Arabidopsis thaliana: one gene and its partners. The protein of the gene in region 1 interacts with the protein of each later gene in a pairwise test. Each region holds a gene or a part of one and is shown in the gene's direction. Other genes may lie near its edges.

Region 1 (4,758 bases):
AATGGTTCGTTTTCTTTAATCTTGTTTGGTTCTGCATATCGTGATGGGTATATAGTTTTGTGTGTGTGAAATGCATTCGTATTTTCTGAGCTTTAGTGATTAGCTGTGAGTGGGTTTTGCTGAATGTTTCAGCATGTGGTATGAATCGTTAGGAAAAGAACATGCTCTTAGCAAACAAAAACTCATGTTATCAACCCAGTTATGACTTGTTTGCTAATGTCTTGGTAGTAAATATACGGTTTCGTTTGTCGAAAGACATATTTTTGAACTTCAAACCGTGTCTTTCATTGTGCATTTGCCTCTGTGCACCTCTCGCTGAATCTCTTAAATGGGGGATTAACGCTATTGGCAGAATTATACCCTTGATATGGAAACCATGCGATTGATATCTGCAGTGGCTTTCATTAGAAATGTGGCTAAGGGAGAAATCTATTATCATCAACTAGTATAAAAGAAAAACAAAACTAAATCTTGTGGCATCAATCTAATGATCACAAGTTCAAGTTATTACTTGTTTTGGCTTTGTTAATTAGCAACTTCGCTGCTCTGTTCTCTCTTACACGTTTAGCTTTGTGTTCTGTCTTCTGTATTGCAGACGGAAGTGAACCGGAGCGACTATGACAACGTGATCGGAGCTCTGCCCTACTTGAAAGTCAATCGAAAGGCGACTTAAGCAGAGCAGGCTTGATCCTTTTCTTACCTGCAATTCTCATTTTGTAATCTAAAGTTGTGGTAATATCCTTTTGTATTGTGATATAATTTGGTCAATGAGTTGATTTTTGTTTCATATTTGTGTCTTCTTTTTCTTGTCTCGCATGACAACTATTCTAGGTGTAACATATACCTCATCAACGAGTTTGGTCATTGATCAATGATTTGGGTTAAGAAATCAGAGACAGATATATCTTAAAAGACTTCAAAGTATTATAATCACACCAATCTCACTTATGACACTTTTCAAGTCTCACAACCCAATCCATTATTTTTTTGTTGTCAAAAGCATTAAGATAAAATGCGGCTGTGATAGTGACTCACTAGCTAATGCATTGACAATGGGAGTTCATTAGATAAAGAAAAAATACAGTACAGTGTAATGTTTACTATATTAAATGTTCGGTTCTCCGGCCAAATAGATGTAAATCTTTGAGTAATTAAAAAAAAAAAATGTTCACTAACTCTGGATTTAGTTATATGGGTTGTCAAACTTGTCATTGCAACAACATTCTTATAAATTATAGACTATAAAATATAAATCATGATCAATATTTTATTTTACTTACCTATATTAAATTAAAATATCCAAATTTAAAAAATTCTAAACATAAAATTGGAAAATTTAAATCAAAGTGACACCTAGTTGTAAAATTTTAATAGATTTATTTTTTAATGTCAAAAATGCAAACACAAAAAATATTATAATCATCTTTTTTTTTTACATATATTAAAGTAATAAATTATGATTGGATTCATATGTCAATAATATATATGATTGATTAAAATCTTCTAAACCTTTTCTATTTTGCACTGTAAAAAAACATTTTCTATTATAAACAAAAAGAAATTATTGAACACTTTAGATGATGTGTTAACACATTAGTAAACTAAATATCCTAAGACACTTGATATTTCATCATAAAATGTAAGAAAATTGCTAATTCTTGGGGGTGTTTAGCAATTAGCAATCTTTTATAAATGTTAAGACACTTGACAGTAAACTTAAATATCCTAAAGACACTTGATATTTTATAATTTATGATGAAATATCACATTTTAATTTGATACAAATATTGGAACCATTTTAATTTTATAATATGTGACGACAAAAACAGACCAAAGCCAAAGAAAGGAGAAAGAGAAATTAGATAAGAAGCTAGCGTCCGAATAATATGACACGTGTCAAATTATCCATCAATAGCCGTCATTAAAAAAGCAAAACGTGGGACCTAAACAGCCTATCTCAACCAAGTATTGAAATAAGGAATGACAAAAATAGCCTCCTACGTAAAGACACCATAAAGGCCAATTCGGGTACTTTCTAGAAACTCAACATTTGTTTCTATTAAAAAAACAAATCTCTCAAGCGCGTGGCTATTCAATCGCGTCCTTTTCGCGTTCTTTTAGATCTTCAAATCAAAATTCGTTACTCTCTTAGATTCTCAGGGTTTTGTGTTTTTTGGATGGTGGAGATGATGAGATCAGAGAATCATCTAAGACAAGCTTCGAAGCATCGGAACAACAATTTTCCGGTGAAGTTAGAGATCATTGAAGATTCTCTTGAAGAAGAACACGCTCCTCTCAACAAACGATCCAAGGTTTTTTGTTGAGAAAACTTTTGTTTAGTACTTTCATCTTTTATAAAGTTTGGATTTTTATTGTCTGGGTTTGAAATGAATTTAGCTATGGAGCAATGGAACAAGTGTCTCTAAGTTTAGTCTACTTGAAGAGCCAAGTCCTTTGGGGTTGAGTTTAAAAAAGAGCCCATCTTTTCAAGAACTGATTGAGATGAAACTTTCTCAAAGTGGTGATGACTCAAATTCGGTTAAGAAAGAAAGTTTTGGTTTTGGTGGTGTAGGAACCGTTGAGAAGCTTAAAGCTTCTAACTTTCCTGCTACTATTCTCAGGATTGGTCAATGGGAGGTGAGTCTTTCAAAGTTTGTTTTTTATTGGTGTGTTTTGGAATCTGATTTTGAATTTTGTTTGTAGTATAAGTCAAGGTATGAAGGTGATTTGGTGGCGAAATGTTACTTTGCAAAACATAAACTTGTGTGGGAAGTGTTGGAACAAGGTCTTAAGAGCAAGATTGAGATTCAGTGGTCTGATATTATGGCTTTGAAGGCTAATTTGCCAGAGGATGAACCTGGAACCCTGACTATTGTGGTACGAAATGAATTCTTGTGATCGTTTCGTTTGTTTGCTCGACCATCTATGTTTTAATTTGTTATCTTTGTTCTGTTTTTCAGCTGGCTAGGCGGCCATTGTTTTTCAGAGAAACTAATCCGCAGCCTAGAAAACATACTTTGTGGCAGGCGACATCGGATTTTACTGATGGTCAAGCTAGCATGAACAGGTAAGAACATTTCTTATGTCCTTAGTCTTAACTCGTGAGTATAGGCTGATAATGGTTTCTGTATCTTTGTGATATGGTAGGCAACATTTTCTGCAGTGTCCCCCAGGGATTATGAACAAACATTTTGAGAAGCTTGTTCAATGTGATCATCGCTTGTTCTGTCTAAGCCGGCAGCCAGAGATAAACTTGGCCGCACCGTTCTTTGATTCACGACTATCTATATTTGAGGATCCCTCAGTGTCTGGATCTCATAATATTGCATCTCCTGTTGGGGCTCAGTCATCATCAGAACATGTGTCTCTATCTCATGACGCACTATCGCCTAGCTCAGGTATTTTGTTTGTTTCCACTATCTTATCGTTCACATTCGTTTCTCTTTACTTGTGGTCATACGTTCTTGTTTATATATAGTGATGGATGCTCGTGCAATCGAAGGAGTTGGTGGTTCCATTGATTCGAGGAATACAAACGGTTGGAGTCAGATAAAAATGCCTGGACTACACCAATCTATCTCGATGAACGATTTCCTTACGTTTTTGTCAGATCAAGCTTGTGAAAACAACCAAGAGTTTGAGGAAATGAAACAGTTACTGCTAAGTGACAACACTCAAACCGATCCATCTGATGAGAAGTCTGTCATGTCAAAGGTGAATTCTTTCTGCAACCTCTTGCAATCTGCTGCAAACTCACAGCTCAATATCGAAACTGCTGATACCGAAAGAGTTGTTGGGGTCGATAACAATAGACACATGCCCGAAGGAGGCAAAAGAGTTGTTGACCCTGCTTCAAGCAGCAAGCCACTACAAGGGATGTCAAGGAAAGACTCATTCAGTGATTTGCTGGTGCACCTTCCTCGAATCACATCACTCCCAAAGTTCTTGTTCAACATTTCAGAAGAAGACTAGTAGATAGTGAACCGAAAAGTTCTTGTTCTAGGAATCTTGAACAAGTAGCTGTAAATCAAATTATCTCTCTCGTTCTTAAGGATTTGGAGGAACTTTTGTGTTTGATGATGAATCCTTGTAAAGAAATGCTTTTGTGATGGCGTTTTCTAAAAGCCATTTCTTTTTTTGAAACATTAACAAAACTTTATTATTGCTTTCATCCTAAACTCGTGTTCTTTGTTATCGTATAGAGAAAGAGAGGCAGAACAAGTAACTTTTCTTCACAAGAAACATTTTTTCCTTCGAAGACGTTTCAGTTTTAAACATGGTTTGTTTTGGTTTTAATGCACCTCTTCACTTCCCCCAAGCGTTACTTTCATCTACCTCAAAGTTTTAAATAGAGTAGACGAATGGAGATCTTTACATGATTCGTTCTCTCAAAATCTTAATTTGTTTGATTTCATTTATGAAGCAGAAACAAGTTAATAGACACATAGAGAGATGATACGCTGCACAATGCGGACAGTGCTACAAGAAGAGATTTATAGAGTCTTAAGAGTCTCAAGAAGCGTACAAGGAGATGAGGAGTGAATCACCAAAACAAGTGGTTTTGGTTTGTGAATCACCAAAACAAGTGGTTTTGGTTTGTGAATCAGTATGGTTTACCCAAAACACTTGTTTGGTGTGTTTACTTCTGATCTCTTCGTACTCTTCTTGCGATTCTATGACACTCTACATGTAACATCGGCATGGTTTACCAAAAAGCCTTCAAGGGTGCAGGAGGATTTTGATTCTTAGAGAACATTG
Region 2 (4,042 bases), on another chromosome or scaffold:
TGAAGAACAATTCCACTTGGCCAGGAAAATCAAAGAGAATGTAATGATCTGCAAACAATTCAAAACGTTTTACTTTAAGAAAGAGATATTATGACCACGAAAAGAAGAAGAAGAAGAAGGGACATATCGTTGCTAACCCTTCAGAAGAGGCTTTAGTTTAGATTCCAGCCAGTCAATGTTTTTCTCCAAGTACTCCATACAATATACAAGACCTGTCACATTAGAAAGTTTCTTTGTTAATTTGACCAAAGATTAAAATCAAAAGTAAGAAGAAAAGGGAAAATCAAGATGGCAAAATTCACCTCCATTAGGACCAAGCGAGTGTTCCGACATAACATCTTCTAACTTGATCAATTCTTCTATATTCACACCACACTCATAACTAAAATCAATGTCAAGAAACAACATACACCTGCAATTTTTAACAATTTTGTTGTATTTGGCTTGAAAAGGATACGGTAATGCATCATTTGCAGGATCCAGATTAACAATAGCAACCTTCCTGCAACAACAACAAAATAGTAACTCAACGTTAAGAGAATTTACTTACAGAGAAGTTCTCACGAATCTGCAAATCTCTCTACCAAAAACAAAGACAAGGCAACAACATTTCACAATGACTCTGCTCAAAAGTCAGACAATTCAAATTTCTGGAATTCAACACTATTATTTACTAAAGTTTGCAACTTGTAAACTTTACAATGCGAGGGACAGCGAAACAATCAATACAAACAGAATTACAGATACAAAAGCCAAGTAAGCTTCATTCTTTGATCCAAAAAGAGAAGAGAAGAGAAAGAACATGAAACCTGCCCATTAGAGAGAGGAACTGAGACATTCCATTGCAATAAGTGGTCTTTCCCGATCCTGGAGGACCTATTACTACTTGTCCAAACACCATGCTTCTGAAGACGAAGAAGAAGATTGATACCAATCGGAGTCAAACACGTTGTATAATATCAGAGCCAGTCAGACAAAAAAACACAGTAATTGCAAAGCAAAATCATCTAATCATCAAACTAACATAACATGAATATTCAATAGAGAACATCAAAACCCTTCTAAACACTGAGCTCGTAGCACAATAGAAATCGGAAATGTCATTTGTTCGTCGGACACAGAATACAAACACAATCCTCCAATATTATTAACCCAATTCCTAAACCTCGTTTATAATACAACAAACAATTCACTGGAGAAAGAGAAGCAGAGAAACAATTTGCTTCAAGAGCATATTCATTATATCAGAAGCAACTGGAGACACAGAAGAAAATAAATAGAGAAGCTCGCCTGTGTAGTTAGCCGGAGAGAGAAGCAATGACAGGTCTGTTTGCCGGAGCAAGAGAAACTCGCAGCCGGAGACTCGTCGAAGACTCGATTCAAGGCGAAGTAAGCTCGCCGAAGACTCGATCGGTATATTTAAATTAGGGCTTTAATTTTAATTCGGTTTATTCGTGCTATACTCGAACCGAACCGGATAATCGAAATTAAAAAGAAGGAAACGATCAAGTTATTATTGGAGTATCCGAACCCAAACCGAAAAGTGAATTTCGGGTCGGTTTGTTTTCGGATAAGTTACCAAGGCCTAATAAATTGGTAAACCGTAAACCGATGCATCAGGGTTTAAAATGTAACAAAATAATATTTTAGGTGACAATTAAAAACGTAACAATAAAACAAGGGGTTATATTCGAAACGTTTGCACCTAACCTTATAACTTCGCATTTTTATACTCTGTTCTGATCGCAGCAAAGCCGACGTTGAACTTTCTCGCCGCCGGAGCGCGTGATCTCCACTCTCTGTCATCGAATCACTCTAATTGAAGATTCTCCGATGGCGATTGTCTATGCTGTTGTAGCGAGAGGTACCGTGGTATTAGCTGAATTCAGCGCCGTTACGGGAAACACAGGCGCCGTGGTGCGACGGATCCTCGAGAAGCTTTCACCGGAAATCTCCGATGAAAGACTTTGTTTCTCTCAAGATCGTTATATCTTCCATATTCTTAGATCTGATGGTCTTACCTTTCTCTGTATGGCCAATGATACCTTTGGAAGTAAGTATTTTTCACTTTCTCCGAATCGTAATCTCTCTTAAGAAGATTTAGTCTTTGTAATTGATTCTGAGTTTTATGTTTTGATGTGTTGGTGATTGGATTTTCAGGGAGGGTTCCATTTTCGTATTTGGAAGAGATTCATATGAGATTCATGAAAAACTATGGCAAAGTGGCTCATAATGCTCCAGCTTATGCAATGAATGATGAATTCTCAAGGGTTTTGCATCAGCAGATGGAGTTCTTCTCTAGTAATCCTAGTGTTGATACTCTCAATCGTGTTAGAGGAGAAGTCAGTGAGGTATAATTGTTTCTTCGTATGATCTCTAGATATTACTCAGCTATATCCATTGAAAAGGTTGAATTTTTATGAGTTATTACGCCTTCTTGGCTCACACAGGCTTCTTTAAATCTGTCTTGGGTGAAAGATGAAGTTTGTTATCTCATTGTTGTGTTATCGTGTTTACAGATTCGATCGGTCATGGTAGAGAACATTGAGAAGATAATGGAAAGAGGTGATAGGATTGAGCTTCTTGTTGATAAAACAGCAACAATGCAAGATAGCTCGTTTCACTTCAGGAAGCAATCTAAGCGCCTTCGCCGAGCTCTTTGGATGAAAAATGCTAAGCTCCTGTAAGGATCTCTCTCACTTCTAGATTCTCTTCATTCCTTTTCTTTGCTAACTAAGAGATACGCTCTTCTACATTCTAGGTGTTTCAACTCGCCTTTGCAGCATAGTTTATTGATATGTTTCTTAAACTAGAGATACAGTAGTTCTAAGATTCAACATTATTTTCGATTTTGGGAAATTCTCCTCGACAAAATATCTAATTTTTGGCTGATAGGAACTACACTGCCTTGATTCCACCTCTGCTTAAAGAAATTTCATTATTGTTTTGTTTTGATGCTTGAGTTCCAGATCACTTTTATTAATCAACAAAACTGCTTTTCTTGTTTGTGTTCGGCAGGGTCTTGTTGACATGCTTGATAGTTTTCTTGCTGTACATAATAATCGCATCTTTCTGCGGAGGAATCACTTTACCATCATGCAGATCTTAAAATCTGGCGGCCTTATCTAAGGTATACTGAAACGGACCACTGTTTTTGTAAATCAACTCAGTCGCATCATTTCGATTTGAAGCCTTGGTTTTGTCATGAAAATGACTGTGAGTTTGAAGTTACATGTCATGGTCCTCCTTGCTTATGTAACTCTTGTAAATGTCAAAATCAAAATGATACAGAGGTTCATTGAACTCTTGCCTTGTCTTTTAGATTTAGTCACGTGAGTGAGTTTGTTCTCTGTATTTCCAAAACTTTATCCGCTGTGTCTTTATAATTTTTGCATTTGCAATGTACATCACATATTCGTTATTTTTGTTGTTAAAATTACTTCAGTTTTCATCTTTGTTTAATAACATTTCTGATTCACAAATATCTGTTTCCATCATTTCTGTCTATGTTTTCATTAACTAAATCATATTAGTTGCTACTACCTTTTTAGCAAGTTTGTCATAACTTGTTACGACTTTATATATGTCATCGATACAGTTTAATCCTGCCTGTACTGATGAACACAGTATGAATATAACCAGAATGCTTAGCACTTGTAGTTGGAAATAAACTCTTACATCCAAAAAATTACGAGAAACAATAGAGTGAAATAAACAGCTACATAGTTGTCTTAGCTGTATTGATAGTCGGGCACTACACATGCATCGGAACAAATGTATCCAGTATATGGATCACAAAGCTTTAGAATGATAGGAGCTCTGCATCTGGAGTGACATTTTGCACAGAAGGGGCGAGAACTATAGCTGTTAAGAACCACTTCAACTCTAACATTATTGTAGTTGATGATGCGTCCTGGCATGAGACGTGAAAAGTCTCCAAGCACACATTCAATATGTGCAGTAACCACACATTTAGAGCAAGTGTAGAACCACTTACTTGGATCTGTTTCCGCCTCGCAAATATCACACCAATATTTTCCGG
Region 3 (4,394 bases), on another chromosome or scaffold:
TATACTCTTCGTGTCCCTTGTTCATTCATCGGATCAATGTCCTATCAACTCTATCTACCAATTCGGTGACTCCATCTCCGACACTGGAAACTTAATCCGCAACGGCCCTGTTGGAGCCAGATCTTCTCACGCCGCTAATTATCCATACGGTCAAACATACTTTCACCAAGCCACCGGTCGTCTATCTAACGGACTGCTAATGATCGATTACTTGGCACGCAGGCTTCATCTCCCACTCCTAAACCCTTACCTCAACGGGAACACAACGTCTTTGTTAACTTCGGAGTTTCCGGAAGCACAGCACTCAACAGCTCTTTCTTCTCCGAGAGAAATCTCCACGTTCCGGCAACAAACACTCCTCTCTCCATGCAGCTTGCTTGGTTCAAGGGTCATCTACGTTCCACGTGTCACGGCTCTTCTTCGGATTGCTTGAAGCACTCTCTTTTCATGGTCGGTGAGATAGGAGGCAACGACTACAACTACGGTTTCTTCCAAGGCAAACCAATGGAAGAAATCAGAAGCTACATCCCTCACGTGGTTGGAGCCATCACAGCCGCAGCTAGAGAGGTGATCCGTGCTGGTGCGGTTAACGTGGTCGTCCCGGGAAACTTTCCAGTGGGATGTTTTCCGATTTACTTGACGTCTTTTCCCGTGAAAGATACAAAAGATTACGACGACAACGGTTGCTTGACGCATCTCAACGAATTCGCAATGGATCACAATAACCAACTCCAAGAAGCTATAGCTTCTTTGAGAAAAGAGTTTCCAGACGTGGCTATAGTATACGGAGATTACTACAATGCGTTTCAATACGTTCTACGAAGTGAAAGATTCGACAAGAGTGTAGCTTTGAAATCGTGTTGCGGGACCGGTGGAGCTTACAACTACGACGGAAAGAGGCCATACGGAGCAGTGGGAGTTCCGGTGTGTCAGAATCCACACAAGTTCATAAGTTGGGACGGAGTGCACTTGACTCAAAAGGCTTATAGATTCATGTCTAAGTTCTTGAACAATCAGATTCTTTCACAGATCAAGTGTACTAGGGCTTAATTACGAGCGTTATTTTTTAGTCCCTCCTCGATTTTTTGTTAAGTTATAAATCTCTACTATTTGTAATAATATCTTACATCCTTAGATTTTATTGATTTTTTAAGATATGTTTTTTTTTTTTTTGAACAACAGATTTTTTAAAATATGTTAGCATCCTTTTTTACTTATGAAGATCATATAAATCGTAAGTCCAATTTCTACTAGACAATCTTATTTTAAATGCATACCTAACTGCAACCTCAAATTTCTCAATTGCATTAACAAAAGTGACAAATGACATTCCTAGAACAAAAGAAAACAATTATGTTCATGCCACAAAAGAGAAAAAAAAAAAAAGAACAATATTTCAGAATTTAATCTCGAATCGAATATAGAGAAAAACACAATTTGAAAGAAAGAAAAATCTTCGTCGCTTGTCAAAAAAAAAAAAAAACGAAATCTGTCCCGTAGTTTATAATTTTGACCGTTCGATTATCCCTTAAATCTTGTCCGTCGTCAGATGAAACCAGAGAGGGGATGTCAGAAAAAAAAAGGTTAAAAAGCAAATAGCATAACCGGTTCACATTTATTGTAGTAACAAATTGACCTAAACCCTAACGAAATCGTACCAAACATAAAAATAATGTAAATCAAATTAAAGCAATTCATCCAATCAGAATTCTGGATTTCCATCAATCCGAACCAAATTTAAACTGAACTGAACCCGGTTCAATCGCAACGAGATCCGGTTAGGAGAAAGTACTTGTCCCTTTATATTGTAGCATTGTATAACTTTAGTCTTGTGAAGAAACGTTTGCATCCCTTCTCTGCGTTCAGCGTTCGTCGTCACCAAGGTTCTTCTCTCTCCTCTTTTAGCTCTTGTATCTTCCAATTTCTTGACGTAATGCTAAGTCTTTTTTTCTACCTTAGTGATGAGTCTCGCTCTGTAATCGTTTCCTGTTCTTAAAAATCGTAACTTTGAAGCTTAGGGTTTCAGAAAAATTTCTGCGAAATTCTCCGACTTTTGTTCTTGTTCCTCATGGGTGTAACCAAAATAACATCTTTTGTGATTTTGCATGCGTTTTGGTAGATTCTCTTTGGAGATTTTAGGTTATTGAGTTTTCTCAATCCACTAGATACTTGAAATTGATTTGTGTTTCTTTGTAGCTTGTGGGTCTTTTGATTCTGTGTGGTTGTTTTGATTGTGTTGGATTTCTATTACTGATGAACAAAGAAACAGTGTCTGCAATGTCTTGTTCTGCCAGGTTAAAAACCAATTTGGGGATGACTTCTGCTCTGAGTACTCATGAGGTTCTTAACAGTAATGATACTATGTGTGAGATTCTTATCCTGCTTCCACCAGAAACGATATACAAGCTGATTTTGGTGTCCAAGAGATGGCTTGAGATTATAGCCAGCCCTTGCTTCCGTCACACTTACTTAGCCAAGTGGAAACCTAATTTTGAACTCATTGGCTTCTTCGTCTGCAGCTCAATGTACCTTGGAAGACGCATAGATGGAACTCGTCGCCCTCGCGCTGAGCCATCTCTTCCTTTGCTCTCAACCAGCAGTATTGGTGATGAAATTGAATCCTCTGGTATTCTGAAAAAGCTTGGATACTACATCGACTCTGCAGATGGTCTTCTACTCTGCGGCCGCCATCCAAAAGCTTACTACTTGTGGGATCCGAGTACACAGAAGCAGCAGCAACTTCCACGTCCCAGAGTTCATTTCGAAGAACTTTGTATGTCTTTGATTTCTGAGGATAGTCCTGATCAAGGGTTTAGCTACAAGGTGGTCCGGGCAGAGTGTGTAGCCTTTCCTGTTAACAGTACAAAGGTGAAGGTAGAGACTTTTTCCTCAAAAACTTCTACGTGGAGCTACTCAGAGCTTATTTGTCTCGAGCCTCTATCTCTCAGCCCGTGGACTCCAGGGAGAGTGATTAAAGGCGTTGTTTATTGGCATGCTAGAGGAGGTAAAATTGCCATATATGACTCAAACAGTGAGGAGAAACGGATTGATGTGATAAAGCTTCCGAAAACATATGACTATGATGAACAGGTTCTGGGAGAAACCGATGATGGGTCTTTACAATACGGATGGAGCAATAAGTCGGTAATGGAGGTATGGAAGCTTGAAAAGGTAGGCAATGTGCTTGAATGGAACCTGCTGTTTAAGGTGAATTTCAAGGCGATGTGGAAAATGAACCAAGCGGTAGCTACAAGATTCAGCACTTGGACTAAAGAAACGCAGCTGCTTGCGCTCTTCAATCAGAAGTCGGACTTGGTGTACATCAGATGTGATACACAAATCTTCATCTATCACACAGAGACTAAAAGGGTCGAAGTAGTTCAGTACCAAGGACGAAAATCGACACTCGTTTGGGATTTCAACAAAGTGGTGCCTTACTTTCGACGTACCTGGCCTTGTTCTCCTCTGTTTGAAAACAATGCCATGATGATCGACACTCCTCAATGCAACGCCTCTTCCGCAGGAAGTAACTAAGTAGTTTATGCTTTTAATCAGTTTATGTATGTAGGCTATTCAACTATCTTTTATGTTTTGATGCTGAAGGTTTTTGGTTTTGGCCATTGATGAACCTCTCATGGTTTTGATGTATTCTCTCATGGGTGTCATTAAAGACTCTGCCTTTTTGCATTTGCGTTTTGGATCTGCGTTTTGTGGTTGACTCCGTTTGTAGCTAATTTATGATAATTTACACATAGAACAAATGGTTCAATCTAACAAATTATAAAACAGATCAATTTATTTACACAGATAATCGATGTCACTTGTCTACATAGTTCTTAAGTTATAGGTTGATCCAAATAGTTTCAATATTATAAGTTGAATTAATGGGTCACTTGGAGAATGTCCACATTCTTTGAAATGTAATGACGAATGTTTGTTCTTTCAATTTTCTAAAAAACGAATAAACATAATAATAATTATAAAGTCATGTAGTGATCTAAGAAACAGATCATAGTTTCTCTCTATGTAATCTTAGGTACAGATAATAACTTTATGATCTCATTATTGGTACATTGATTTTTTTTCTATTTTCTTTTTGCTTGCAACCTTTTTCTTCCCTTTTATCTTTTTATGAATGATGAAAATGTTATGTTAAGATATTTGTAAAGATCATTGATTTGAATAAATAGAGACCCGTCTAAATATGCACCAACAATTCTGACTTCAAGTGAGATTTACATTTCAAAATTATGCATTATGCCTAGAAAAAAGATGATCACTAATATTGTTGGATTTGAAGGGAAAAAGAAGCTGGTGTTAAAAGAGTGGTGGGACATTATGACAACTCAAAAGGATCTTTAACTGTGTTGAGAAACTCCAATGCATTATTTATA

The links.
Region 2: the proteins of ASG1 (region 1) and VAMP714 interact in a two-hybrid assay, tested with the Arabidopsis thaliana proteins (one large-scale study listed by BioGRID).
Region 3: the proteins of ASG1 (region 1) and AT5G03970 interact in a two-hybrid assay, tested with the Arabidopsis thaliana proteins (one large-scale study listed by BioGRID).

What each region holds. Positions count from the first base shown.
Region 1 is NC_003071.7:10,242,744-10,247,501, forward strand, and holds ASG1 (ATP-dependent DNA helicase), read left to right. Parts: upstream 1-2,001; 5' UTR 2,002-2,177; coding exon 2,178-2,312; intron 2,313-2,397; coding exon 2,398-2,637; intron 2,638-2,703; coding exon 2,704-2,877; intron 2,878-2,960; coding exon 2,961-3,067; intron 3,068-3,147; coding exon 3,148-3,398; intron 3,399-3,478; coding exon 3,479-3,972; 3' UTR 3,973-4,251; downstream 4,252-4,758. Other genes in the region: PRPL35 (Ribosomal protein L35), read left to right, coding at 1-4, 596-673.
Region 2 is NC_003076.8:7,403,446-7,407,487, reverse strand, and holds VAMP714 (vesicle-associated membrane protein 714), read left to right. Parts: upstream 1-1,604; 5' UTR 1,605-1,833; coding exon 1,834-2,053; intron 2,054-2,160; coding exon 2,161-2,351; intron 2,352-2,519; coding exon 2,520-2,683; intron 2,684-3,018; coding exon 3,019-3,109; 3' UTR 3,110-3,484; downstream 3,485-4,042. Other genes in the region: QQT1 (P-loop containing nucleoside triphosphate hydrolases superfamily protein), read right to left, coding at 1-48, 138-212, 303-382, 458-502, 810-901; AT5G22355 (Cysteine/Histidine-rich C1 domain family protein), read right to left, coding at 3,732-4,042. UniProt on the Arabidopsis thaliana protein: Involved in the targeting and/or fusion of transport vesicles to their target membrane.
Region 3 is NC_003076.8:1,070,861-1,075,254, reverse strand, and holds AT5G03970 (F-box associated ubiquitination effector family protein), read left to right. Parts: upstream 1-1,765; 5' UTR 1,766-1,883; intron 1,884-2,269; 5' UTR 2,270-2,277; coding exon 2,278-3,534; 3' UTR 3,535-3,749; downstream 3,750-4,394. Other genes in the region: AT5G03980 (SGNH hydrolase-type esterase superfamily protein), read left to right, coding at 1-109, 223-1,050.